Lepisosteus oculatus: one gene and its partner. The main gene of each other region encodes a partner of the protein of the gene in region 2 in a complex. Links are inferred from orthologs where the notes say so. Each region holds a gene or a part of one and is shown on either strand. Other genes may lie near its edges. The genes, in order: chuk and nfkbiab.

What was found.
Region 1: nfkbiab (region 2) and chuk share a complex: the UniProt entries of both Homo sapiens proteins name them as parts of the 70-90 kDa complex. The link is inferred for Lepisosteus oculatus from reciprocal best matches to the Homo sapiens genes NFKBIA and CHUK.

Annotation. Positions count from the first base shown.
Region 1 is NC_090699.1:17,633,288-17,647,866, reverse strand, and holds the start of chuk (inhibitor of nuclear factor kappa-B kinase subunit alpha), read left to right. Parts: upstream 1-8,487; 5' UTR 8,488-8,835; intron 8,836-9,904; exon of another isoform or gene 9,905-9,907; 5' UTR 9,908-9,910; coding exon 9,911-10,015; intron 10,016-10,742; coding exon 10,743-10,837; intron 10,838-11,664; coding exon 11,665-11,782; intron 11,783-12,062; coding exon 12,063-12,132; intron 12,133-12,665; coding exon 12,666-12,754; intron 12,755-12,993; coding exon 12,994-13,083; intron 13,084-13,294; coding exon 13,295-13,419; intron 13,420-13,649; coding exon 13,650-13,757; intron 13,758-14,075; coding exon 14,076-14,211; intron 14,212-14,486; coding exon 14,487-14,579.
Region 2 is NC_090703.1:3,275,569-3,290,892, reverse strand, and holds nfkbiab (nuclear factor of kappa light polypeptide gene enhancer in B-cells inhibitor, alpha b), read right to left. Parts: upstream 5,885-15,324; 5' UTR 5,820-5,884; coding exon 5,581-5,819; intron 4,965-5,580; coding exon 4,859-4,964; intron 4,706-4,858; coding exon 4,498-4,705; intron 4,253-4,497; coding exon 4,164-4,252; intron 3,947-4,163; coding exon 3,689-3,946; intron 3,414-3,688; coding exon 3,381-3,413; 3' UTR 2,832-3,380; downstream 1-2,831. UniProt on the Homo sapiens protein: Inhibits the activity of dimeric NF-kappa-B/REL complexes by trapping REL (RELA/p65 and NFKB1/p50) dimers in the cytoplasm by masking their nuclear localization signals.

The DNA of each region.
Region 1 (14,579 bases), on a different chromosome or scaffold from region 2:
ATAACTCACGTAATTTACAATAAAAGATTCCATGACACTCTTTGCAAGAGAAAATAAAATCCATCCTTTTTAATAAAATACCCTTACTCGGTCAGGTGTTTCAGTTGTTCAGGGCTTTAGGGTCTTGGCCATAAGGAACAGCACCATGCAGGTGTATATTTTGATGTTTATAATGTAGAGCAATGCCAAAATCGGAACAATGTCGATATTTGCCAAAGAAAATTCTTTCAATTTACAAGGCTTTTTGAATTTTCTTTTTATTTTGCTTTTAACATTAAACTATAAGAGTAAGTGTACAGCATAGTCCTCATTCAAAATAAAATAACATCATCCATTGATACAGGAAGGAATAAACTACATGTGTTTTGCCATGTAGGGACAAAATTGCATAGCCCTCCAGTTCCAAAACAATCTTACACAGAAAGAAAACAAAACTGAATTAAGAAAGGTGGTTTCCAATATAAGTCCAAAGGGCTGACCAGATCTTACAAGGCATTTGAATTACAGTCTCTGTGGTTTCACAACTTCAAGTTCACATTTACTCCAGATTGGTCTTTATCCCAGAATGCAGTCCCAATGCTGTGGGTAAGAGAATATTCCATGCTGAACGGAGAAGAAAAAAAACACAACGTTTCGGCTGTGGAGCCTTCTTCCAGTGTGTTTCTTTTCTTCTCTTTTCAGCATGGAATAAACCTTTACTTTTTCCTTTGCAGCCTACGCATGCCACTTACTTGAACTACAGAGAATATTGTATTACAAAGCCACAGGATAACAGGACAACAGACCTCAGGGCAAAAACAGGGCAAACCTCAGGACCAACTATTTAAAAACATTACATTTCTGTGGCCTCTTCTGATATTCTTCAAGATGAAAACTATCATGTTCAATTTTATATCTATTGTTCTACTCTTCAGACCTCTGGGATCATGGTTACTGGTGTTAGTAATATCTATGCACAGATACCCATCTTGGTTGATGGCATCAGGTCATAACTGTACAGCCACATCACAGAAATATGCTACCTGGTTTCTCTAGCATATTTCCAGTGCTACACATCTTGTCCAAAGTTATGAAAAACCTGTATTTCTTAAAATAAACGACTGTATTTCTGATAAATATCAGGGTTGAATAATGCTGGCTGATGTTTCAATTGACCACAGTTTCTCTTCTGCAATTCACAAATATGACAGACACAGTGCTCCACACCCCTCTCACAGTCACAATGTGCGGATCACATGAAGCACTCAGACCAAGCAAAATCCCCACTGACTGCCAAGGACTACCTTATATGGCTTTTTTTCCCAGAGAATAAATTTGAATACACAATGAACAAAACCAAACGACTGTACATACTGAGAGGAATTGATCATCATTCGTTAATCATATGACTGAATGACTCAAATCAGAGTCACTTTATCAACATACAATTTTTTACTGTACGTCTTACATACCTATGGTGTCTATATGTTTCATCCTGACTGTTGAAAGAGGGAAAACCTAGACCAATTCATTGAGAAGTAATTTTTCTGTTGTCACCTTTTAAAACGATTAAAAAAACGTTTTTCTTTTCGTCTTTATAAAAGACCCGGCAAAAAGACGGCAATGTATTCTGAAAAATGTAGTCTGAACATATTTAATGGCTCTTCCGGTTTTCTTAAAATCAGGCTGTTCTGCATGGCTTTTACTGCTCTCAGATGACCTTCCCCATAATACAAATGGCAGCAGAGGATTCCACAGGAAACCTGACCTGTAAATTAGCCTGATAAACCGAGAAACTTGTGTTTTAGAATTGGATTAAAAACTTGCAAACAGCAGCCATATTGAATACTACATGTGGGTGTTCCCACTGTCTCAGAGCAAATGAAAACATACACTGTGGCTTAAAACAATGAGTAACGGGATATTGTGAGAAACATTAGCAAGATAAAGCATAGTCGCAGAGAAGGAAAGAATGACAGGCCAATTAATTTTCAGCTTCTCGGAGAGTGTGAATCATATCCCCTTTGTGGTGAAAGAATTAATAAGAGTGTTTATACACCAAATAGACGTTGCTATTTTGTACATGGGAAGAGAAAATAGGAAGTGTGATGCTTAGCACATAGCTTTGTGGTTGTGGCCACAACAAAATATGTCCTAGAAGGTAATTAAGCCTTCTGTACAGTTTGGTGTCTAAAGATTGGTTAACTTTAAATGCTAAAGGCAGGGGTCTCCAAATCTGTCAAGTTGGGTGACCCTATTTAACCCCAAAGGCCATAGTGGAGACCCTCATTTTAAATGAAGCACAACCAGAGTGAAATAGGCTAGTTCGGGATTGATAAAAACATTTCAAAACCAGTGTAGTCAAGGAAACTGATCTACAGCAAGCTGTGCTCAGACAGCTCTGTCCATAACAGCAGCACCTTACTGAGAGAGGATTTCAGCTGTGGTATCCAGGCCTAACTAAAGACATCCCAGACCATCCCAGGTTGCTCAGGACTCACTGAAGATGCCCCAGGCCTTCCTGAGTCTTCCTCGGGCTTTAGTGAAGATGACCCAGGCTTACTGAAGGTATCTCAGGCCTCACTGGCGATGATCCAGGCTTACTGAAGGCATCTCAGGCCTCACTGACGATGATCCAGGCTTACTGAAGGTATCTCAGGCCTCACTGACGATGACCCAGACCTTACTGAAGGTACCTCAAGCCTCACTGACGATGACCCAGGCCTTACTGAAGGTACTGTATCTCAGGTCTCACTGACGATGACCCAGGCTTTCACAGAGGAGCCTCAAGGACCGTTAATGCTATGAGACAGACTTCCTATGATGAACTCTCCCTGTTTATCCTAAGACTACTGCATAAAACCAGTCTTGACTGAAACAAATTTATGACCTGAACAAATTATGAAATTAATCAGAACCTGTAAAACAACGTTTAAATGTCACATTTCTCATTGAAAATGTTCCCAGTTTTGAGTTATAACAGTTTTTATGTTAACTAGCTTACAGCATACATAATATTAATTTCCAGTTTTCCATTGCTTTGTTCAATTTATAAGGTTTTAGAATAATTACAGCTTTAATAATGATAATGATTTAATAATAATATTACAGATTTTCAATCAAAGCTTGAATTATACATTGTGCCTCATCAGCACTCTGTTGAGATTCACCAATCACACTTCACAAGCTCTGTTCAGAAACAGCAGAGCAATCAAATGCAGTTACCGGGAAAAAAACATGCTCGTCTCCTGTGCTCGGCAACTATTACCTCTCCTCAGAGATGATAGTCTTATCCACATTCCTTCTTTCACTTTGATGTACTCACATCTACTTTATTATTTGTAAAAGAACACTTTTTCTTATTGAACATGAATCATTTTGAAATAACAATAATATCTTAAGCAAAGTATTTGTGAAGTATTTTAGTAGTTCGGAGAAAAAAAACTGCGATTCGCAGAACGATTTTCACAACGTGATGTTTCAATGCAAATTTTGCTGGGTTTTATTTTAACTCGACTCCAACCAATTTTCCCAAACTGAAAACTGAGTACGTTGCATGTTTTATTTTGTATACCAGCATTTTACCTGCATCTGAGCATTCCCAACAGAAGGTACATTTCGTTGAAGCAAAAATCCTTTCGTCAATCACAACGACATTATTTTCGTGATTGTACAGCGGCCTCTAGTGGATGTGCTGAGCGTTTCTTGCTTCCTTGCAGACAAAATCATTTTCGCGGTAAGTACAACGGTAAGGTCCAAGTTGATTTTTCAGTACGGTATTTAGTTTGATTGTCATAACATCTGTTCGGATGGAGAGATTGTTCTGATCACATTTTTTTATCTTATCAAAATAAGCTTTTAAAATTAAAATTTTATGTCGAAAATTAAACTTTTTCAGAAAAGCCATTTTGTGTTTTTATCTTCTTTGTCATTTTCTTTAATTGAATAGTGCCTTGAGACTATTGTTTTTAAAGATTCTATATAGAATAATGTCTTTTATGATCTTTTATTGTATCATTCATATTGTAGTGATTTCAACACGACCTCCCCCCTTTCATATAATAATATTAATGATTATTATTATTGTGTCTTTCAGAGTAACATCTCAAAGTGCTTTATGGTAGGTGTAAAAAAGAGTAATAAGGATAGTAAATTACAGAATAAACATGTAAGAATCTCAAATAGTTAGAAGAGCAGCAGAAGACACAAGGTCATTAGAAAATGGGGCGGGCACAGACACTAATTAAGAAAAAGGCTTTGTAAAAAACTCACTCAGGGTAGGTGGCTCTCTGATATCATTAGGGAGAGAATTCCAGAGCTCTGGGGTGCAGCAGAAGGTCCTGTCACCCACAGAGAGTGCATGGGCTGGGGGGACAGGAAGGAGTCCAGAATTGGACGAGCGAAGGCTGTGAGGTGGGAAGTAGACAGATAATGAGACAGATAGGTATTGATGTGCCAAGCCATTTCCAGCCTTATACAGTAGGCGAGCACGGGGATTTTGAAGTCGACATGAAGCCGGATAGGAAGTCAATGTAATAATAATAAACTTAATTTTATATAGCACCTTTAAAGGAGGCTTCTCAAAGCGCTTAAAGGACTGCAAGACGGGCATACTGTGATCACCTGCACATGACCTGGTCAGAGTTCTGGCTGTCGTATTCTGGACCTACTGGAGCTTGTTCAGTGTGGATTCAGATGCCCCAGTGGGTAGGGCACTGCAGTTCATCCTTTCCTGCTGTTTCCCTTTACAAAGCTGGGAAACAATCTGTTCTCTCTCTTTTCCCCACCTCTGGAGTCAGGAGGATGCCTGCTTCCTCTCCGTCTTCCTAGCTTGACCTGCTCCGTGACACGCACCCCCCCTCTGCTGTAATGACAAGGTCAATTAAACTGTCAGTGAGCCTGTAGGTTATCTCCACCCTGTCCTTCCTAATGCTGCTGCCGCCGAAGTGAGCGTTCTTTGCATTGGTGTTACGAGTGGGATACTCCGCCACAGGAACACGGCAACGCGAACGCTGTCCAGCCTGAGCTGGGGGAGTGATGGGCTGGCAGGCTGACGGTGGCTCCCTTGCGCTCACTGCCCCGGAGGAGGTCGAGCTCTTGCACCGCTCTCCTGCCATCGAAGACAGAGGGGGTCATTTAGCACCACCCCCACGAGCTGTGGGACTTTTCTGCCAAGGCTCCACAGAGGACGCCAGCCAGCACCACCCTAGCGAGTCTGTCCGGTGACAGGCCCCCCACCCCACCCACCACGAGCCTCAGGACCCTGCTGCCAAAGCAAGTGCCCTCCGCAAACCACAGCAGGGGTGCCAAAACCCAGCTGCTCTGAATCAGCTGAAGCCCCCCCCCCAGACCATGAGCCGCGGGGTACTGTTGTCATGCCTGTTCTTGTCACAGTCCGTGATTCCTCTGCTGGCCAGGTGAGGGCTGTGAGCCGAGGACGCTGGCTGGTCGCCAGGCGGATGGGAAGGCCAGGAGAAGCCAGCGCCGCCGTGTCCACGCGCGCTCCGACAGAAAGTTGCCTCTATGGAAGAAGGCCCACCCGAAGCTCGATAGTCCCAGTGCCGGTGTCATCGCCCTCCCGACATGTAGCAGGGACCTCAGGCGCCTGAGATGAGGGAGGTCTCCGGCGTAATGCAAAAGGGAACCAGCCCAATGAGCTGAAGGAGACCTCCCTCAACTCAGGCGCCTGAGGTCCCTGCTACATGTAGGGAGGGCGATGACACCGGCACTGGGTTCACGCCCAGGCATTGTGGGACAAGCCAGCGGGGTGGAACGGCGAGGGCAAGAGCCCGCTTGGAACCACAACAGTCAGACCAGCTGATGAAGGCAAGCCCTCCCTTGTTGCTGTATCCCAGCAGCCACTGCGTGCTCCTGTCCTCTCCAGACCAGATCCCTGCTGCTGCCCACTGCTCGGAAGACAGTCAATCCAACTCCAGGATTCCCAATTCTAACTTCATTGTTGGACTGTCCCCACGAACTCTCAGCCTTTACCACAGGTTCACATTTCCTGCCTTTTCCCTCATTAAAACCATGTGCAATCCCTCCTCTCCCACTCCCCTGTTAATCCAGATAACGTTTGCTTCCTCTCTGCCTCTCTCTCCTCCGTGACTAGCTGGCCACGCTGTAATGAAAAAGGCAATTAAACTGTCAGGGAGCCTGTGAGTCGTCTCCAGCCTGTCTTTCCTAAATGCCGCCGCCGCCAGGACTGAAAGGAAAGCGTTCGTTGCAATATTAACATGAACTGTAATCAAAAGTACATAAAAAGCACGACGCGCTACAGCTTCCCACTATGCTGTAAAGCCTAATATAATGGAACAAGCAACCCATTCTCTTTGAAGCCGATACCCTGGCCTCTGTCATAAACTGACTGTAAGGGATCATCGAACCGCTTAGCTACTCTAAACGAGCAACTTGGGACGAAACGTCTATTACGTTTGCGTGCTTTCTCAGGTTGGCGTGTGCTTAAGGTAAACCCGAAGTAACTTCTATAGCGACATCTAGAGGTAAGAGAAAATTCGGTTTCTTAAAATGACCACGGTACAGTAACCATAGCAGTGACAATTTGTTATAGAGGTTTCATTTTGGGTTTTGTTTAGTCACGACTGTGAGACACACTTATTGGGGCAAAAGGTATTCTTGAGGCAATAGGTTCTGGAAAACATTCAGGTCTTGTTTCGGTAACGCTATCAGCTCAGTTCCCTTTGATACAGTCGACGGACACGGCTCTGTTAAAGCTCCAGCTACCTTTATTGGTTGGTCTAGAAACGATTTTGACCGGTGTGCCTACCCCTTTCAAACTGACACGTATCTGTTTCACTGAGAAATTCTGTTGGATCTTTATACAGCTTTATACAGAAGTTAAAATTAGAAAATACAGCCCTAACATGCATTTTATGCCAATGAAAATAGTTTTTTTTGTGTGTTTTCAAATCCTGGTATTAAAACTGCATTGTTCTTCCAAAATAATCTAGCTAGGTACATTAAGCCAGGAGATGCTAATACATCTGTTTATTCAACCTTGCCTTGCTCAAAATGTTACTAGACAATATGTTTTAGCATTGTAAAAGTTCTTCACTTGTGGATCACAGAATTGATTTTAAAATGGCTACATTAAAAATAAAGCTCTTGGTGATTAAGGTACTGTATATCTTCAAGAGATACTTAGTACGTATGCTCACTAGATCTACAGACTCTCTTTGCTAGTTGGGCCAATTGGACTGAGTTAAATAAACCATGACTCCTTGACTTCTATTGTACCTCAGCTGAAAACTGTTAATTTAAAAGTATTTCTAGTCAAAATTTATTTTTTTCCCTTTTGTATGTAGGTGTTACATTATTTTCTATTTTTATGCTTTGGGTTTCTCTGGTGAAAGGAACATTAATAATAATAATAATAATTGCTTACACTTATATAGTGCTCTTCTGGACACTCCACTCAAAGCGCTTTACAGGTAATGGGGATCCCCTACACCACCACCAATATGAAGCCCCACCTTTTGCAAACAGCCATAGAACACCAGAACACTCATCACATATCAGCTATCAGTGGGGAGGAGAGCAGAGTGATAGTTCATAGAGGGGGATTATTAGGAGGCCATGATTGTTAAAGGCCAATGGGAAATTTGGCCAGGACACCGGGGTTACACCCCTACTCTTTTCGAGAAACGCCCTGGGATTTTTAATGACCACAGAGAGTCAGAACCTCGGTTTTACGTCTCATCCGAAGAACGGCGCCTGTTTACAGTATAGTGTCCCCGTCACTATACTGGGGCATTAGGACCCACGTGGACCACAGGGTGAGCGCCCTCTGCTGGCCCCACTAACACCTCTTCCAGCAGCAACCTTTTTTCCCAGGAGGTCTCCCATCCAGGTACTGACCAGGCTCACACCTGCTGAGCTTCAGTGGGTTGCGGGGTGATATGGCTGCTGGCAATAAAACTTACAATTTACATTGCTTTATAGAAGAATTACATACAAAATTCAGACTTCGTATGAAGTACGTTAGGGCAGAGTGGTGGCACTGTGGCTTAGGATCTGTGCTTGTGGCCGGAACGTTGCCGTTTCATATTCCGCGGCCGGCAGAGGAATCCCCTGAGCAAGACCCTTAACCCCAACTGCTCCAGGGGCGCTGTACAATGGCTGACCCTGCGCTCTGACCCCAGGCTTCTCTCCCTTTCTGTGTGTTTATGTCTCATGGAGAGCTAGCTGGGGTATGTGAAAAGACGAATTCCCAATGCAAGAAATTGTATATGGCCAATAAAGTGATCTTAACTAAAAAAAAGTAGTCAGTGTTTATTATTGTGTAAGGTTCGCAATTACGTTCAAAATTAAAAATTGCATGAAAACGCGTAACGGATGGCGAATATTCCCATTCGCTGTTTTGTTTTTGGTCGGATACAGAGCCCAAACCGTCACGCAGGTATCGGAACTGACAACCTCGAGACCAGCGCGCGGGCACCCGGAGGTACAGGAGCGCGTGCTGCTCCGAGGCGGCGGTGACGTCACTTCTGGGAAAGTCCAAAGCGCCGCATCTGAAGGGCGGAGGGGAGGTAGAGATTACTGCTGGGAAGCGGGGAGGAAAGGGGGCAAAATTGCAGAAAAGGGGGGTGGGGGGGTTTAAACCTGTTCAGCGCCTGTCGCGGTATCGAGAAAGCGGTTCCCCCGTGAGCATGGGGCAGACCGACAGCGGCTGACGGACGGGAAGCGGGCTTGTTTACATGCAGCAGGCCGGCGGCCTCGGGTCTGGCATCCGGCTGCGAGGGGAGACATGAGCGGGCCGCTGTGACTGCGCGCTGTCAGAGCTCTTGGCCCGGAGGCTGCTTGCCGACTAAGTCTCATTGTGTGAACATAACAGAGGTGAGTGAGGCGTGTGTGGAGTCTAATCCCCACCGCGGGGGCTGTGGCCATTGGACCGGCCGAGCCGAGCTGGCCCAGGCGGGTCTGTTTTGAAACTGGTGCTCTTAGTTCAGGACGGCGAGAGGATATGGCAAAGTTTATTTTTCAGCCACTTTAAAACAAGCGAGACGCGGATATAAGGCTTCACGTATTTTAGTTAACGGTTCTTTTCCGTGTTTGTGACACGGGAGAAACAAACACGCAACAACTCCGAGTAGCCTCCGCTCCAGACTACGGATTTCATTTCCCTCAGAAAAGCGTCGTGTTGCCGGTCTGAAGTCTCGAGAGAACCGTGCTGGGTTAAAGGTCATGTCGATTCCACAGGGCTTTTCAGTGGCAGGTCGGGGTAACATTTTTGTGAACCCGTGACCCGGCGCTTCGTGACGTCGGCGTCCCGCGCTCCCGTGTTCCACTTTATCCACGAGCTGAGCTTCCAGGACGGCACGGGCCCCGGTTCGGGACCTGGCCCTGGTCTGCAATGTTGACACCCAGGAGAAGCGCTACTGGCCCTGCTGCTGTTATCCAATGGCACTTTACGTCACCCAGCTGTAAAATACCTACCCTTCAAATGTGCATTACGTGCAGAAGTGCAGTCAAAACAAGTGCGTTAATATAGTCAGAGCAAAGTGCAGTAAGATTGGAACTATAAGTACAGTCTGCATACTTGAGCAGTGCAATCCAAGGTACAAAAATAACAGGGATAAATGACAAAGAGTCTGTACAAGCTTGTCCTGGTGCTGGCCACAAATGAGCTGCACCATTGCGAAAGTGATGCTATTTTGGGCCCGATTCATGAACACAAGGGCTTTTAATCCATTTCTTAGCTCAATGTACAGCACAGACAGATGCTCAGTGCTTGAGAAATGTCTGAAATTTCGCTCCAACAGAAAGGGGATGCTTTGAGATGTTCTGGATTGAGCATTGTATGATTTTCTTTGTGTATTATTTTTGTTCAGTGTTCTCACAGTCTGGTGTATTGGACCTCACTCGCATTAAAAAAAATAATCTAAGGAAAATTAACTTTTTACAGCAGAGAATGGAGAAACCGCCGTTCAGGCAGAATCAGGTGTGCGGATTGTGGGAGATGAAGGAGAAACTGGGAACGGGAGGATTCGGCCATGTGTATTTGTACCAGCATCTGGTGAGTGCAGCAGGGATGACGGCTCTAGAAACGCTAATGCTTGGGGTAGAGAGGCCAGTGGCTGGAGAGCTATGTGGCCTATGATCAAGGACCTGGTGATCGCCAAGGGCTCGCACGCGTCCCTCAAGCTTTGTAGCTTTGCCCTCACAATTCAAGACACTCATCCATATTCCCCAGCTCCGGGACGCTGAACGTGGGCTTTTACAAAGGCATTCGCCCCAAAGCGACAGTGTAGCTGTGTGTCAATACAGAGGGACAATAAACAACTTCATTGCAAAAAAGGAAGTTTCTAAATGCAGGCGCCAGTCCCAGGGGGTGATGGCGATTCCCTCTGTCGGCCTGCGGGCTGTATCCTCCGGGGTGCTGAGCTGTACTCTACCAGTGGAGATAAACTGTCCGTCTGCATGGTGCTTGCTCTCCACTTGACTGGTGCCTCATATCCCGCCTCTGGGGAAAAACTGAGAAGCTTCTGGTAAGCTAGAGCACCAGGTTTCTAATTTGCAGCTGGGTGATGGGTGCACATCTGTTCCTGAAGCTTGGCGTGTGATCAGCACGCTGGCTCAGCGACTGATTGTCTTTGTTATTAACAAAGTAGATATTTTGGGATATTTATTCCTGTTTTGTCTTTTTTTTTTGGTTTTACTTGACACAAGTTATAACGTTTTATTGTATTTCTTTTTTTAATGTGACTTCGCTCGGTCTGCTGTTCTTTTTTTCTTTTCAAAAGGAGACAGCCGAGAAGATTGCTGTCAAGTCGTGCCGCTTGGAGCTGACTCAGAAGAACAAAGAAAGATGGTGCCGGGAAATACAAATCATGAAGAAGTACGTCTGAGACTCTGTGGAAGACAGGAGAGCTCTTCATGGCTGTCCTTCATTTTCAGCACTTCTTTTCTTCCCTCTGATTATCCTGTCGCAAGCGTGGCTTTCCCGTGACTTCCCTAAAGAATGTTTAGCTCCGATGTTATGCATATCCCAGCTTCTTGCAAGAAAGGGGAACGGCCTGTTTAAGTTTGCATTAGGACGTAGATTAATAGTGTCAAACAGTACCTTTTATTTGCATGCACCATTAAAGGATGTGGTTTTGAGGGACAGTATTTAGCATGCTTTTTTCAGCTTTGTTTCAGTATTTGCAGCATCACACTTGTGATCTTTCTGCCGGTTAATGTGTTCGTAATTTTCCGGCCTCACAGTTAAATGCATGCCATGTGGGGGCAGGGATTCCATAGCTGGTGGCAGCACAGTTGGTTAGCACTGCGGCCTCGCTGAGCCAGGGTCCCGGGTTCAATTTCCAGGTTGCTATCTGCGTGGAATTTATATTAATGTTCTCCCTGTGTTCACATGGGTTTCCTCCCACAGTCCAAGGACATACTTGAAGGTTATTTGGCTTTTGGGGAAAAATGTCCCTGGTGTGAGTGTGTCTGTGTTTGCGTCTGCCTGCGATGGAGTTGCGTCCCCTCAAGGGTGTACTCTGCCTTTCAATCGCTTGCCGATATAGGCTTCAGCTCCTCCGTGACCATTTATTGAATGAAGCGCTTGGAAAATACAGGGATGAAATCCATAGCCGTGAAAGAGTTTTGTAGAGGCTGCCTGTGTAAGCTTTAGATCACAACTCCTCAATGATTTACAAGTTGGTTCTATTTTTATTTCAGGCTTAATCATCCCAATGTAGTGACAGCCCGGGAAGTGCCAGAGGAAATGACAAACATAGCCTTTAATGACCTCCCACTCTTAGCAATGGAATATTGCTCCAAGGGAGATCTTCGTAAGGTGAGACCCTTAAGAATTCCCTAATTCATTGTGTAGAAAATGCAGCACTGTAAAATATATCTCATGGGAAATGGTACTTGTAGAAGCACTTTTCAGTTTAGTGTTTAAAAAATCGCTTCTTCAAATGTGTTATTTGCTAATGATATTATATCTGTCTGATTGAGAAACGTAGTTCTACATGAATTACAGTGAAAAAGAGGTGATTAGATGCACATTTAAGGTGCAACATGCATGCTCTTTAATGAAGCAGGTATAGTTAGTAATGTAACCTTTTTCCTAGATGTTGAACAAGCCAGAGAATTGCTGTGGATTGAAAGAGAGTGAAGTGCTCTCCTTGCTCAGTGACGTTGGTATGTTGTCTATAAATCTTAGTTTTACATATACGAAATACAAAGGATCCTGTATTTACTGCTGGGTCTTTCCCACTGAATCTTTGTCATGCTCTGTGTAGCATGGTTTTCAAATGGGACACCTGACGGTGAATTATTTAGTTTTTATTGGCAGATGCGCTGGATTAATTAGTACAGCATTTCATATAAGATACTTGTGGTGAAGTTTTCCCTAAGCTGGTGTTCTCATGTTTTTGATTTTGTGATCATTGGGAATTAAAAGACTAGTTTGTTTTCTTCTAATCTAAAGTAGATTTAAGTTTGATTAGATAGTCACAGTTACTGTTAGAACATGTAGCAGACACAAGTGGGGGTTTTGAACAACTTGTTGATGCTTATGAAACACACATGTTGAACTCCTGATTATATATAAGATTGCAAAGACTTTTTCACAGCACTTGTATTGTATTGTGTATATATGTGTATTCTAGCAAAATAAATGTATAAACTGTATTTAAAAAAATGGTGCTCTTAAATTTTTAATTTTTTTAAAGGGTCCGGCATCCAGTATTTGCATGAAAATAAAATTATACACAGGGATCTTAAACCAGAGAACATAGTTCTTCAGGATGTTGATGGAAAGGTAAGACAGCAGTCTTCATGGTGGTTTATTATTCAGAATCTGTTGATCTTTGCTATCTGGTGATGTCTTCTTCATTTATTGAAAGAGCAAGAGCAACCAAAGAGCTTTTTGTTGGGTGCTCTTTAGATTTACTGCTAGATCTAGGCTTTTACCCATTGGTTTCTCAAAAAAAGTATAACGTGATTCTTGTTCACTACTAATTTTTTGGTGTTTTAAACATTTTTTTCCTTTGTCTCTAGTTAGTCCACAAAATAATTGATCTGGGGTATGCCAAGGACCTGGATCAAGGGAGTCTTTGCACATCGTTCGTGGGAACGCTGCAGTACCTGGTGAGTGTCACCAGGGGCGTTACCTTGTGACCTTGGAAGTGAAGAGTTTTACCCATTTTTGTGGGTTGCACAAAGAGAAGGTTACCGTGATGTGAGATTTTTGTTGTGTGTTGCTATGACGTGCTTGGGAGACAAATATACTTATTGATTAGTGTACTGTGTACTGCAAGTGACCGTACGAGACTGTGAAAAGTCTTTGCTCCTTTTCCAGGCCCCCGAGCTGTTTGAGAACAAGCCGTACACCGTGACAGTGGACTACTGGAGCTTCGGCACAATGATCTTTGAATGCAGCTGTGGTTTCCGTCCTTTTCTGCATAATCTCCAGCCCATCCAATGGTAAGTTTTTCAGTTAAAGGTGAGCCGTGAATTAATATTTGGCTGAAAAGGGCTGGAGAGGGGTTGCGAGAGGCCGTTGTTAATTTATTTAGGGTTTGGTGAGGTTTCTTCTAAAGCAAATAGTGTAATTTCATCTGTTCATTGGGGTGCACTCTCTTAGATACAACAGGTACTCTGTGTGCCTTTTGACTAATCTCTTCTTTTTTTCATTTTTTGAACGCCTCTTTCAGGACCACAAAAGTGCGTAACAAAGGCCCAAAGGACATCATGGCTGTTGAAGAAATGAATGGGGAAGTCAAGTTCTCCACCCACTTGCCTTACCCTAATAACCTCAGCAGGTCAGTAATTTTACTTTGAGGTACAATATCTCTGTCACTGAGTTAAATGAGACGGAGAATTGCATGACCTGGGGTAAAGGGACCAAAGCTGAAATCTCCAAAAATGTTTGCATGAGGTGAAACATGCTACTTGTGTCTCCATACCCACTATGTCCGACACAATGTGACGTTGTTACATAATTACTGTTGTGACTTTGTAAATTTCATTAAATCTGGGGAATTTAATATTAGGTTTTGTGTGACTTATGGTTTGGTTACACCACCTCCATCTCACACATTATTGTAGTAACTCTTTCTGTGATGTTGTTTTCTGTGCAGGACAATGTTGGAGCCTCTTGAAAGTTTGTTACAGCTGTTGCTGCGATGGGACCCTGTGCAGAGAGGAGGGCCTGTACACTCTGACACAAATCAGCCTCAGTGCTTTGTTCTTCTGGATATGATTTTAAACATGAAGGTATTTTTCAGTAGTTTTTCTTTTCCTTTCTCTTTCCCCTTCAAGTTAAAATCTCAGTCTTAAAACACAACCAAATGCTTTTTAAGCTTTAGCTCTTCCATTTTCAGAAATGCTTTTGATATTCTTTCTGAAATGTTTGCTTCCAGTCAATAACAATACTAAAAGAACCAAGAATCAAGTTCACATTGGTGTGTTAGTTACTTCTTATATATTGCTTCTTTTTAGAAAATAATGTAAAAACTCCTTTGGTTCTAAATGGCTGTTTTTGTGTCTAGGTTGTGCACATATTAAACATGACCTCTGCCAAAATCCACTCGTTTCAACTGAGCCCAGAAGAGGGACTCCACTGTCTTCAGCAGCGCATTGAA
Region 2 (15,324 bases):
AAACATGCCCTTTGCAGTGACTGTAATAGCAAACGATTTACACCATTGAAACAATAAGGGGAATTGTTGAAATCTGTGTTTAAAATGAAGACTATAACCTTGTTCCTATCAGTTGGACCCCCCCAGCTTAACTTACACGAGGTGCATTATTTTACACAGTATCTCCGTGATAAAGATATCCAACAGCGGAAAACCAGGGCCCCGCTGGAGCATGTAAAAAACAGATAGTAGGGAAAAAACAAAGGAACAAGGAAAAGTAGATGTAACACAGAAAAAACACATTTGTGCTGGGGAACAGTCTTTGGGTGTGTGGGCAAATGAAGCCTCTGGATGATCCTGGAATGTTCTCAGGGTAAACCTTCAACTGCAAACATTTTTCCTGACCCACCTATCATCTCATAATGCAGTCCACCTGATCTCTAAAGCCTTCTACTCCACATCGTCCACATCCACCATCATCTCATACCACTGACCACCTGATCTCCACAGCCTTTTGCTCCACATCCTCCTAACTGTCCACAGCCACCATCACCTCATGCCACCCATCCACACCAGGCACCATCTGCTGATGCATCACCAGCAAACGTCCAGCCAGTAACACGGATACCCAGAGGCCTCGTGGTTGTCCAGCTCATTTAAATATTGATTGCACCTCTTCCAGAAAGCTCCTGCCATTACCACTGGTGCTACAGACAGAAGACAAGCAGCACGTCAGGGCAGCGAAGACCAGAGCTCAAGGGTTGATTTTGACAATCCAGGCCATGGTCGCGCTGCCCTTTGTGTCTGTGGCCTTTCACAGTGAAACTTCTCCTTTAACTCCTGTAGTTCTACACCTTCCCCTAGCATTCTGTGACTCGGTCATTCCTTCCTTAACCTCTCCATTCTTTTACAAACCTGCCCTCGGAATTCATCGCCGAGACTTCCGATTCCATGGACACCACGTTCTCCTCCTCCTGCCCGATGTCCCCCTTACTCATCCATCGGCCTTTTGGAGGAAGAAGAAAATTTCCCAGTGTGGAATTATTGGATGAAGTGGTTGGAAAATGCAGGGATGGGGTTACCCTCTGCTTGATCTTTTGCACCAAGCACACACACACACATTGACACCCCACCCCACTCACAAACCAACAAGCCATCTTCTTTCAGTACCCCCCAGCACTGGCAGTCTGTTTGTGTGTGGGGGGGGCGGGGGACACAAGCATTCGGCCATCCTACGTTGGCGGTTTTCCTCATGTGTGGGAGGATGTTTGCTTCTATTCACTGGGTATTTATAACATTTAAAGCCACATTGAAGAGAGTAGGTGTGAACGAAGCCTCAGCCCTCTCCTTCATGACCCCTGGCCTTTCTGCTCCCTCTCTGACCACATGAAGGGAACTCTCTCCCTTGACCAAAGAACGAGTGAGGCTTTGCGCAACACATACCTGATAGTGCCGAGCAAAAAAAATTAATGGCTTCACTAATGTCCTGTAGAACAGCATGTTCCCCCGAGCACGGGAACAAAGAAAAAAAAAGAAAACTTTACCAGAGTTGGCTCTGCTTAAACATTCAGACGTAGGAAACGTCTGTTATAGTGGAGATAATCACTGGAGTATGACAACCACGCCAATTTCCAAAAATACTTGAATTCTGCTTTCAGAAGAAAAAAGTGTGGATTGCTTTGTTTCTGAAAAGCTGCCTGGAAAGACACAGTGGTACAAATCAGACTTGTTTGTTTTGTTTGCAGGTATTAGGAAAAGATTATTTAGAAAATACTGAACAAAAATACCTCTTTCATTTTCCTTTAGTGTAACTCACTAACTAATCTAACTTCTCTGTGTTAAGGAATGTTGTTTATTTTCAGTGTAGTGCATTGGGGTAGTTGTAGTGCATCATTTGGAAATGCCCAGTGAGTCAATCCTTGTTCAGAATGTGGACGGTCTTTCTTGAAATTCTTTCAACATCCTTCGTGGCCAATTCGCATTTCCCAGAGCTGCACTTTGAAACCCCTCTCCTGACTAATTCCCAGGGGAAATATCCTAAGTGAATGAAGACGTGGGATATAGGAAAGTTGAAAAGTTGAAATAAAAGCAGCCTGCCTTTATTCGGGTGGGGGTTTACAATCCCTTTGCCTGTTGGAAGTTCCCACCCATTCTGGAAATTCCAGCCTGCTGATCAGACAAGGAAAAGGGCACGTACAGCATGCACAGGGACAATCCGATCCTCTTCCCAGATAATTGTCCAGACCGTGCCCCAAGACGTGGCTGACGAGTGTGTACACAGTACTACTGATTGATCAGGCTCATGTCTTGATCCAAAGCAAATATTTGTATTTATAAGGCTGGGCGTTTGTCTTGAACAATTCAAGTGAAGTGTCTTGCTCAAGAGTGGATGAAGCAGCATCTTCTCTGGTGCTTGAGCCCATCAACTTCCAGTTACAAGCCCCCTCACCACAGTATGAATGACAGCCATGGTGAAATCAATTTGGCGCAAGTCTAAGAATGTTGCGTAGCACCTAGGACTATACAAAGATATTTTAGCACTCCATTTTTTATATTAAAAAAAGATATTTTGGGGTGTTCTGTACTTTGCACTGTCTTAACTTCATCTCGAGGGCAACACTGTGCTGTTGAACAGTGGAATTAACACCTCAGAGTAGCCGACTATAAACCGGGGTTGCAGGCTGGAATCCCAGGACTCCCAATGTCGTTATCAACCTCCAAGTGGAAGCGCTTGCGACCCTCAAATTCTGAGCTACTCCTCTCAAATCTCTAAAAAGCTCATCCCCCCCCCATTTAGCACCACTATCACATTTCCTGTTCACATCCCAGAATTCAAGACAAATTCACAGAGGTCATGGTTCTCTTTTTATTCTTGCTTACAGTATGTATACAGGTATGGCTCCTCAGTTAGTACTTAAAACATACAAGATACTCACACACTCGATAGTGTTCATGTATAATAACATTTCATTTACTTCAAGAAACTTATTTGAAAAGAGTTCATTCAAAAAAAATAGATTTCTCTGTATAGTACATCATTTACATATTTACACTCCAAGGTGTACAGCTTGCAGAAATTCCGGGTTGTGAAGACCGAGTCAGAGTCCTTTGGAAATTCAGGTCCAGTACAGGTTCTGTGTGCAGTGAACTGGTTGTCTGGGTCCCAGTGCAATCCTCCCTGGGCTCACAGTGTTGATCAGTTCCAAAGCCTGTCTGTCCAGCTCCCCTGTGCCCCGCCCTTCCTCTCCACAAACACTTCCCACGCCCTCGGCCCGGCGACACGGAGTCTGGCCAGTGCTCCTGCTGGCACTGGCTGCCGGCCAGGGCAGGCTCTGGGACCTGCCAGCGGCTGTGTTCTCCTCTGCTCCTCCAGCAGAGCGCGAGGCTCCCGGGCCCGAGCACTACTGCCGCACCAGCTGAATGTCGTCGTACATCTGGAGGGGAAAGCAAAGGAGCAGGTTAGGCTCTGGGGCCCGCAGGAGTCAAGAACCCCCTCCCACACACACTTTTCTGCAGAGGTAAGAGAACCGCCACGTCTAGCTTCCTGAAAGGAAACCAGTGACCACCCACGGCTCTCGACACATCCAATCAGAGCTGATGACAACTAGTGTCACGTTAATTCCTGCTCCTGCTTCAGTCGAGTGCCTCATGCGTCAACACCCCACCCCCACCCGGTTCAGCCAAGGACTGGGACAGCGCGGACACTTACGTCATCTTCCTCGTACAGAGGCTCGTCGTCGCTCTCCTCCGCCTCGCTCTCCGGGAGCTCCCGCAGGTCCTGCGCGGTCAGGGCGTACAGGTGTCGCTGGATCTCCGCGTTCTGCCGGCCGTAGGTCAGGTGGTACGGCGTGTGGCCCCCGTAGGTGAGGCTGTTGACGTCGGCCCCCTTGGCGACGAGGAGCTGCACCAGGGGCAGGTTCTGCAGGTCCACAGCCAGGTGCAGGGCGGTCCGGCCGTTGCACTGCTCCTGCGAGGACAGGGCGAGCTCACGTCAGACAGGCCACACGCTCTCCAGAGCCAGCGGAAGCACAATCTCACAGCAAAGTCCCCGCTAAAACTCAAGGCTCTAATGGTGGACTGGAAGACGTGTTCCAGAAAAGATGCTCAAGTGTACCACCCAGCCTCTCACGATATGCCCCTTCGAACCCCGAGGAATTGCCCAACAAGGCAGAGCACAAACCTACCTGCACATTGATATCGGCACCCAGCTGAATGAGGTTCTCCACCAGCGAAAGATAGCCGTGGATGGAGGCCAAGTGGAGGCAGTAATGTCCTGGAAAAGGAGAAGGAAGAGCAAGCTGGTCAGTGACAGGCCACCATGGTTCAGCGTGGTAGTGGGGCTGATCCTCCGATCTTTCCAGATATTCAACATCGGCACCAGGCCTTCTGTTTCTGGCGTCAATGTTGGCGATTTCCAGCTCAGAGTCTTTATTTTTACCAAAGCCAGCTGACTCCGAGTTAACATTAATAACATTAATAAAGGGCATCACTGCACGACGAATGCCAACGGTTACCTACCGTTGTAGTTGGTGGTGTTGAAGATGTAGGGCAGGTGCTGTGTGCTGCCCTGGGTCAGCACGCTGAAGCAGTGCAGAGAGCCCTTCTTACAGGCGATGTGCAGGGCCGTGTTTCCACAGTCATCCGTCAGCCTGGGGTCGCAGCCAGCGGTCAGCAGCCTCTCCACAACCTGGGGCTGCTCCATTATCACGGCCAGGTGGAGAGCCGTCTATTTGGATAAGAGAAAGGAAGAGGAATGTCAATCCATGCTCATCAACGTCTTCACTGCACATTAAAATCTGAAGGAAAAAAAAAACCCCCATTAACAATTCCTCCCCACTAAAGGGAACTAGACAAAAACATCCCTTCTGCTGGAAATTACCTGTCTCTGGTTGTTCTGGACGTTGAGGAACGGGTCACCGCGGCAGCGCTCGATAATCTGCAGGGCGCAGTCCGCGGCCTCGTGAATAACAGCCAGGTGGAGCAACCTGGAGGAAAAGAAGATGAGAATCCATTCAGTTACACGGTTTCTGGAGGGACTGGAAAGGAGGCCGATGGGGGGGGGGGGGGAGGGAGGGAAGTGCTTGAAGCAGCACTTGCGTGTTGCGCAAGCCTGGGTTTTCGGTGGTAATTTCCACTAGCGAGGTCCTGACACATGAGCGCCCCGCCGCTGGCGCCGCGCCAGGGACTTTCCGCCGCCGCCCCTGCGAGGCGCAGAGGACTCCGAGCCCCGCTGTTTACGTCAACCCCTCCGACTAACGCCCAGCGCCTTCTCGCCTCAAAGACCGAAGGTTTTTTTGAACTCTTTAAAAAAAAAAAAAGTTTCTCGCATGCACCCTTTTTGTCTGTGCCGCCCGACTCCCTGCAGACCTGCGTGCTCTGGTGCGCGATGGTCATTTTGTTTCCGAGTACGAACCCCCCCCCCGCTTATGGTGTCGTTTCTATCTGAACACTTCTTGATTCTTCTGTAAAAGCACGGCATATGCTTGTTACAAGCCACGCCGTTTTCGATCAAACCCCAGCTCATGCACTCGTACTAAGCGCCCTTCTTTCCTCGTTATTTCGTAACGCGCGGGTCCTCCGCGGTCAACAAATTCAACTTACGTGTCTCCGTCCTCCGTCCTCTGCAGTTTCCACGGGTCGTTGTGGAAGTCATTCCGGTTGGCCTCCGTGGGATTCACCCTCAGGTTTTCCATGTCCTGCAGGATTTCTTGATATTCCTCCTCTTTCAAAGAATCCAACCCGCTGTCTAGCCTCTCGTCCTGGCATTGCAAATGTTTCCCATGCTTCAGATCCCGATCCTCCATGTTGTAATATCCCTGGTTACCATTAATAGCTTCCATTTTGATCTTGAGTCGCGCCTCCGACAGTCCTCTCTCTAGCTCTGAGCTCAAAATGAGTGTCGGCGCAGAGCCCGTCCAATATAAGCCAGGCGAGCAAGGGCGGAGCAACAGGCAGCCGGGGATTTCCAGTGACTGGCGAGGCAGCCTTGTGAGAACATTGTTAGCAGCTGGGGAAACTCAACAAGGGTTTTTTATGGGGAAAATTCCCCCCCAGATCAGTCCGTTTAGTAAGAATGAAAATTTGTAGTTTCCTATCAATATAACCTCGATTTTACACTATAAGTTCCCGCGCTGCGGAGTCGTGAGGGCTTCTAAAATGTTATTTGTAGAGAAGGGGTCGGTAGTTTTTAACCCTTCCCCACGCATGAGAGAGTTTTAAGTTTCTTTAAAATCACGTTTGGTTTGCACGATATTGTACGACATCGATCTCCAGGCAGGCTTCCGAATAAGTACGCGAGATGGGACATTTAGGGATTCACAAATAATTTCCGAATTGCTTTGCATTGCTTTAACAACAGCTATATGTATATTTTTTTAAAAACAAATCCAGCCGTTTTATGTTACTGTAGCTTGGGAAGTCGTTGCAGTCAGAACTTAAAATGTTAAATAAAAACAGGGTCCTGGACCATGATGAACCCTGAAGCAGGGAAGTGTTCTGTAAGCCAGAGAAAACAAAAGTCTTTTTGAAAAGGAGTTTTACAAATGCTGAGCTCCCCCCCCCAAAAAAACAAAACCTGCATTGTATTGTAAGTACGTTGCAGGTGAGCGCTGTTCTTTTAAACCCGCACACGACTATTTTCACGGTGAAGCTACAGTATTTTACATTCGGCACTGTGCACCCCGTCTGTGTAGATATGGACGGTATCGGCCAAATAAAATAAAGGGGATCTGGGTGCCGGCACGGGTTTCCATGTTCAGATAGAAACGGGGAGCATTTGAGAAAGAGAGAAAATACGTGATGGAAATGGGAACTCAATTTAGGAGGTTCGTTTGGGAAAGATTCACTTCCACTCGAGTTCAGAGTCCCACTGAATATCGGACAACAGCGCCTGGGAGGGTTGGGTTTTTTTCTGGGGGAAATAACCCACGGTTCGAGCCGAGGGCGTTTTACTCCTGCACAGGCTGGGGGACTTCAGCCAATAGGTGGGGTTGCCCCTAAATATTAATTTGAAAATTTAAATAATATATATATACTCTTATACAGTACTCTGTTTGAGGACATGTGTTATTGATAGTATTGGAAGGCTATACCCCAGCTATTTTATTGTTGGGTACGGTTTTAAGAGTGTGTGTTTTTTTTATTAACCTTCGAGGTACGATTCAATTATTTTGCATGTGGGAAATTGAACATTGCACGGTGCTTTTTAAATATAAAGTGCTAGACATGTCTGACAAAGACTTTTCCCACACAGGAATTTTGTTTCTTGAGAAAAGAAAAGCACCAGACGGCAGAAAACATTTGAAAAAATTCTCTTGGTATTCTGTTGTTTTGTAGCGGAGATGGGAATTTGTAAATAAAAATCTTCTGATCATGCTCGTGCTTCAAACAATAAGTTACCAAGCAAAGAAAAACCTGGACTTTCCTCATGGAGAAACCCTCTTAACAGCCTGAAACCCCTTGAAGATGTACTCTTCCCCAAAAAACTCAGAATGTGTTCATGAAAATCCCGACATTGCGATCTAATGCATGCATAGCCGTTAACACTGCAGGAAAAACAAATCTTTGCAAAAGTAGTTAACTGTTTTTTTTGTAATGTACGGGAAGACAACGACAGAATCCAGGTACAGGAGAGAAGAGCTTATGAGTTATAACTTTGCATAACGATTGGTTGCGCTGCTGTAGTGTTTCTGGATTGAGACAATTTTATGTGTGCGGTATGACGTACATTTATCTTTTCCTCTGTTTTAAAAAAGCACCACACTTTAATTAGGTCACTATTGCTATGGTTAAAAAAAAACTTTTCAGTTTCTTATATATTTTTTTCTGAATGAAAGCATCCATTCCAGAATTACGGCTGTGGGAAACTCCACCTGATCGAGGCTTCACCTGTGACATGAGATGAGTAACCCCGGACATTTTCTGTTTGCAAAACACTGTACTGCATTAGTACAATGAATTTTACAAACATAGCAACCGCAGCATAGCAACGGTATCGAAGCGCGAGTCCTTCTTCAACTCCACAGCCCCCCCTGGCGGCCAAGAGACAGCAACAGCTTTCGCCTCAGTGAAATGCTGGTTTTTATAGCGTGTAGACTAAAAACTGTCAGAAACTATAATAATAATAATAATAATAATAATAATAATAATAATAATAATAATAAGCCAGTGTGAGCACTGCCTTTGATAAACGGCTCTATTCCAAAAGCAGACTTTTAATCCGAATAATCCATTCCTTCATTTCTTTATTAGTTTTCGCCACATAGGCACTTTTTCACAAGTATTGTCGTCGGGCCATGCTGTTGTTTTGTATCCTCGAGCATTGTTTTCAAGCCTTTGTAGTCTGCATTTTATTTTATTTTTACACCACACTGAAGGTTTTTCGCAAGGTCAAAGTGCCTCCAAATCACTTAATTTAATAAAGTCATGCTTCTTAATACTTCCCTAGTGGCATACTCTCCAGTGCCACATCTCTGTCACAGAACAAGCCGAATGAAAATAAAAGACCAGACCTCTGTTTTTGATGGTGGGACGACGCCCCTCTGGTTCAGATACCCGTGTTGTCAGTTATACAACGCTTGGACACAGCTCTGTGGCGCGGCATCACTGCAGCAAAGCGCATACTGACCACCGAAGCAGACAGGCCTGTCACTTTCTTAACACGATTAAACTACGGCTTTTGCCTCCTGTAAAGGTGAGAAGGGGACTAAAGAAAAGCCTGATGGAAATTATACAGTACATCCTTACGTTGACCTCTGTGGGTGTGAATGGCAGATGAGTTTTTAAACAGGCCGTGGCAATGCTGTACCGGACACAGCAGGACGTCTCTGCTGCTGCTTTGCAGGTGCCTTAATACCTTCTCAGATAGCTCACCACCTTTTGAGAGGGTGGAAAGATTGACCGCCCCCACTCTCTGTCTCTTTCCCTGGAGGAAGCTGTGAGGTGGGTTACGCCTGAAAGCTGCCGTGTCCTAGCAGGACCGTCAGTCAGCTGAGTCCATGTGTACTGAATTTCTGTGCTGCTTCGGCGTTTTGCTGCAAAACTCAGTTCAACTGCAATGAACTCTTTCACTGAGGGACAGTTGTTGTTTTTTCGAAGCTGCTTTAAAATGCGTAGTTCTTTCCTATCCTCATCTGTTAGCGCCAGGCGTCCTCTTGCCAAACGGCCTCCCACTTCCCCGCGCTGAGGTGGCTGACATTCCCGCAGTGGGAGAGTCCGGGGAATCCCTGCAGCTGGAGCTTCCAGGCAGGACGGCTCCGCGCAGGGCCTGAGCCCAGGGGCTGCAGCCTGTGGGAACTGGCGTTCCAGCTGGGCCTCCGAGCTCCGGCTCCCAGCAGCTCCTGGGGCCTGGCGGGAGCACACCCACTGGGTGGGGCAGACACTGCTGTGAGTCAGAGCCAGGGCTGGGATGCAAATCCACGCAAGGCCATACTGCCGCGATTAAGCAAGAAATTAGCCGTGCGCCCAGCGAGTGGGTGATGCAGCTGACTAGATGTGTACGGTTTGTGAAATTACCCGCCCAGGGTTTTATTCTGCGGTCTGATATAGTGATTCCTGGGACAGCTGGGCTGGAGCTGTCTATGGGAAAGCTGCAGTGCACTTTACAATGTGCAGGAACATCTCTGTATGAAGCTATTGGCTCCTGAACGAAACGAAGGGACAAAATGCATTAATTACATTTTGAACACAGATGAGCTTTGCTAAAGGAAACAGGTAAATGGCAATGTTCTCTTGCTGATGTGTCTCGAAACGGCTTTAACATCAAGGAGGACAAAGATATTTTCTTACAGAAAAGCGCCCATTGATCCATGATCCAAGAGAGCCCATGCAATAAGCACTGCTGGACATCAGGGCCCAGTGTGCAGCTCTGGAGGAGCCGGATGAAAAGCCAGGGGCTACGAGTCCAGCAGTGGTGAACATGCAGCACTGCACAGAGAACAGAGGACATTGATTCAACACACAAATTCAACAAAATAGCTGTTTAAATAGCTGCTAGGCATTTCATGTCTCATCATGGATCAGTCTTTACGCTCGTTACACCATGACACCGGGAAACTCCTCTGCGAGACGGAGATCTGCAGACACCATGGCTAGTCCTGATGTCTTAGTACTATCGATGTCTGCGCTTGAAGTTCACAGGTTCTCACAGCACATTTGGCTGTTGTTTGATGGGTGTTTGAGCTGAAACATCCAAAGTCACAGGTTAGACTTGTAGAGTTTACAAATCCAAGCCTGGATTTCTTGCAGATAATCTGAGCTTCTTTAAATGATGTGAAAACTCTACTTTTGGGCAAATGTTTAGTATGTACTGTAGGTTACATTTCTTATATTTTATATACATAATTAATTGTCATTCCTGTTACGGAATATATGGCTATTAGTAGCATTCTAGTCAATAGTGACGGTACCTCCACTATCACTGCTCTCCATTATCTGCCTGTTAGCCAGTTCTCAATCCACGTGCACTCCCAAGGACACCTGCATATGGAATCGAACCCTGACATGAAACTAATGGAGTTTACAACAGAAGTTTCAGAGCAAGGTTAGATCCTATCTCACAGACCTCAGCATGCCTGCGTACAGTATATAAGGACTTAATTCTCCTATCTCTCACCCTCTCCCCCACCTCCCCCCCTACACCCCTGTAGCAGCTCCCCAGCTCATTCCTCGCAATAGGGAGGGGATCTGGGCAGCCTTATCCTCACAGCTAGGCCAGCACTCCCTCAGCCAGGTGAGTCACTCCACATACTCATCATATTTCAGCCCCTTATCGCCTTCATTAGGATCTAGCCAAACTAGATATACTGAAATACTGTATCATAGATAGCTGTTAACCCTGAAGGCAGATACTCAAAAACAGAAATTGGTTCCTGCTGAAGTAACCCAAAGCATCACACACGATTCAGTCCCATTGTCGCCCAAAATGACATCGGAAAGCACCTACTGGCTGAAAACCTAAAACTATAAAAACGATCAGATGGAGGAAATTTTAAATCACCCCTCCCAGACAGCAGGGAGTAGGTAGCCCTAAGGAATGACCAGGGCTCTGGACTAGAGGGTTGTGGGTTCAAATCCCAGGAGAAACACTGCTGCTGGAGCCTTGAACTCTGAGCTTCACCCAGATCGATCCAGTCTTGGCTCTGCTGTGTAAATGGCTGTCCAGGCCATCGCTGTTAACAAGAGCCTGTTCTTAATGGGCTGAAGTAAAGAGTCAAAAACATCTCTATCTCTACCAGACATCTCTCTCTATAAGACCAAGCCTAATGTGTCTCAATTCATCACTGTTAGTAAAACAGGATTACCAGAGGAAGAACGATAACCAGACACTTTTTTGTGATACAAGGAAAAAAAATGACAATGCTTAATTTTAAACCAGGATAAAATATTCACTCCAGGTTGTGTTTTATTTAGTCAATAAACATTCCTTATTAGGAGATACTAGAAGTCCAGAGAAATGTGAAAATGTTGCTTTGGCCTAGTCTTAGCAGCCTGCATCAGGACAGGATCTCCAGGAATGTGACCAGAGACGTCCCCGAGTGAGGAATTTCCCTTTGTCAAGCCAGCTGTGTGAGCACTAAGGAATCACAGGACAGAAATCCCGTTTAACAGGCTGTTCAGCAGCAGAGGTGATTTCTCCAGCGCGCCTTTTGGGATCTCCTTTCAACTTCAAATTGTTTAAATTTAGAACATCTGTAAAGGCTGTGTACAGTGAGTGACAAGAATGCCTTTGCCACTTCACACACTGTAGTGCTGTGCAAAGTGAGTCACTCTTATCCACCCTGCTGGAGCACGCCCTGTTTCTGATACTGTGTCATGATGATGCAGCTGTGAGCCCGTGCAGACACAGTTTGGCTCAGACAGTATTTTGGGCCCAGGCAGGGGAGCTGTGACTCTCAGTCCTGGTTCTGGAGTGCCCTTATGTCCGCTGGTGTTTGCTCCCACGACACGAGGGCCTTATCCCCCACTGCTGTCCGCCGCCAGTAGTGTAGACGAGAGACACTGTACATCGGGCTGCGCGGGACTGCGGGACCGGAAGTTTACCACTAGGTGGAGACATCTCTTTGGCACAGTATTCAGCAGTACTTTATTAAAACACATCTGTAATACATTCTAATCATTAGCAGACAGGATAATTATCACTATAAAACATCATACCAATCATAGATAATGTACGTTTTTTAGCAGTACAATAGAGTACTGTTAATGAAATGTAGATTTAGACTAAATTAGCCTTGCGATATTTTCTTTTCATATTGATGATCAATTTGCTTATTTTTTTAAATAAAAGCGTGTTTTTTATTTGGATGTTCTGTACTGTCTACTTTCTCTGAACAGTCACACAAGACTGTAATTTCAAAGTAAAACAAAACTGCAGGTCACTGCAAGGACTTTAATCCTGACCTCTGTTCCTTCTACACCCGATTTGACTCCTTGACTTGACAGTGCGGAAGCTGGAATATTTGAAATGCGTTAAGTGCCTAAAACTGCTAAACAACATCAATCATATGGAAAGTTTTTTTCTGGTATAAGTCAAATGTTATTCATTTTATAATTTACCCATGTACTCATTGCATTGAACGGGACCTTTTTGTTTTTAGATGTCGGTAAAATTTTAAATTAAGAACGCGGGCTGCGAAACGTAACGTACAGCATTATAAAACTTTGCAATCCCTTTGTTTTGTCAACTAAAAACGTCTGTTGGCGCCCTCTTGTGGGGCACCCGAGTAATGCAGAAAAATGAATAAATTAGGAGTGTTCTCCTGAGTACAAGAACACGGAGCTCTTGCGAGACATTATTACACGCAAACATGAAGCAGTCAAGTGCATCCCCCAAGCAGGACCCCGTGCCTGAAAGAGACCTACACCGCTCTTTCGAATTGAACTTTAAGCAAATATATAATGGACACAGAGTGGTACGCAGACTGTCTATAGATGTAGAACAATTAAACCCCGAGCAAATAAAATGTTCATAAAGGTTTATATAAAAATACTGTCAGTGCAACTCCTACACGTAATGATCAGCACTTAAAGTGAAAAGGTCGACTGGTGTTTCTTTTTACGAACAGCAACGGATTCATTTCGTTAAGTAAATCGAGGAATAGAGTGCTCACTTCTCGCACTAGCAATAAAAGTAGACTTGGAAAGAACGGAACGTTAATTTTGCTGTGAATCTCATATCTTATTTTTCAGACACCGTCACTGCTGTTTACGGGTCGTTTCCGGCAAAACGCGTTATCAGTGACCCTGTCATCCTGCCTGGGGATTAAATTTGCGCCTCTTCCCCCTAACATTATTCAAAATGATTACTGCAATCAAAACAGAAATACTCGGCGCCTCTCGCCGCCTGGGTCGGTCGAACGCTGGCGCTAATTAGCAACAATTAATTTTTAATTACAAAGCAAACGGCGGCCCTTCTGCCTGCCGGAGCGTGTAGGTGCGGGAGCTGTCCGCTTCCCGCAGTGCTGAACGTCGCCTCGGATCAGCGCTGCTCCGGCAGGCCAGTCGTCATGCGGGATCGCGCCAGCCCTCCAGCAGCGACAGAATAACGACCCTCCCCGGCAGAAACGCGGCTGCTTAGATTTCGTTAAGCAAATGATTACAGGTTTCGAAGCGCATTCCTACGTGCTGCTAGCGGGGGATTGATTAACTATTTCGGTGATTTGGAAGCCTCATGCTGGAGGAGGAGAAGCCCAGAATGTTACTTAAGCGGGATAAAAGAAATAAATCAATACACTCATCTTTGACAGTCTGCTCACTTATCCGAAGGGTGGGTCGCACTGGGGGGGGTCATGTAAACCTCATGTAAACCTCCCGCTGTCTAATTAGAGTGCATGAACTCCGTGGGGTCAGAAATGTAGAATGGTTCTTTTCATGTAACTGGTCGGCGAACGTGAATTCGTATTTTTTTTAAGGAGGGAGGTATAAATACGGTATTACGGATACATTAACAAACACCCCTGAAATAAACTGTTGACTGCACAGCGTACAGGCAGAAACCTGGCCGACGTGACCTGTCACTTCGTGAAGCAGCATGTGAACCGCGCTCTGTCTGTCTGGTGAAAACACAAGTAGACTTTTTGCATCAAACAAACATGGAAATGATACACAGTGAACAGAAGGTCTCTTACAGGATGGAGTGTACCAGATCTTCATGGCTAGATCTTCATTCACACCAATGAATGAAGATCTAGCAAAGCCAAAAGAAATGTGGATTTGGATACGGATTACTGCTCACAGAATCGATCAGTTTGAATATTCTTTCAGAAAGAAGAAGAAATTTTAGATGGGACAACTCCAGTTTTAGAGGAGCTGTGCGGTTGTACTGATGTTTTGCCCGCACGGTTAAAACGCCTCTTTACTCTGCGGGCCTGGACGATCTGAACTGCTCCTGTACCGCCGTCCTTGCGCACGGGCAATGGCACGCACAGGAGGGGCCACCTTCAACCAGTCTGCTTCATTCTGGTATGGCTTGCTGAATATCTGCTTCCCAGCTCAGCGCTGCTCTCTCATGGCAATCTCTGCTGTGTCAATTAGGTCCAGGAGTGTCCAAAGGTCGCCGTCTGGAATGCACGCCTCCCCGAATATAAACTTCAGGGCGGGACAGGTCCTGGCAACATTATATTAACTGTCAACGGCCTGTGCTTTCAATTTCGCAAATTCGTTTGCAAATAAGCGGCAATGCTCTATTTCAGAGAAAGCCCGAATCACCAGCTACAACGCTCTCCGCTGATCCTCTGGCAGCATCTGTGTTAATTTATGTTCCAGTCACCCCCCCTACACACACACACACTGGCCATTCTGTGGCCGCAGGAATGAGGCTGTCTGTGCGGCTCTGATCTCTTATCGGCGCTCGCAGCCCCGGCGGGGAGGTGGCAGGCCGCCGGCCCGCTCTGTCCCGCTGGCGGGTTATCAGTGGTGGAAGCTGCCTGCAGATGTGGTCCCACGCTCCATCCTCTCAACGGCGTTAGCTCCACCACCCTTCTGCTGGGAAGATAGCGGAGGATCCTCACTTGGGAAAAGGCAAATAAAGTCGTTCCCATCATTTTGTGCCGCGGGGCCCGAATGGGAGCGATCCGCAGGAAATTAGTTGTGTGGCGCTCAGGCCCCCAGTCCAATCACTGCTCTCACCCTCATTGCGGCTGCAGGCCTCGCAGGCAGGAATCGATTTTGAAGAGTCCACAGCACTTTGATTATGTCATTAATCCACCCGTCCATCCGCGCAAACGCGCTACATCTCGAATGAAAGAATCCCCAGGATAACAACTGATTAGCCCTCAGACTGAAATTGTGATAGTTTACACGAAGAATATAAGAATAAGAACAAGAACAAGAACAAGAACAAGAACA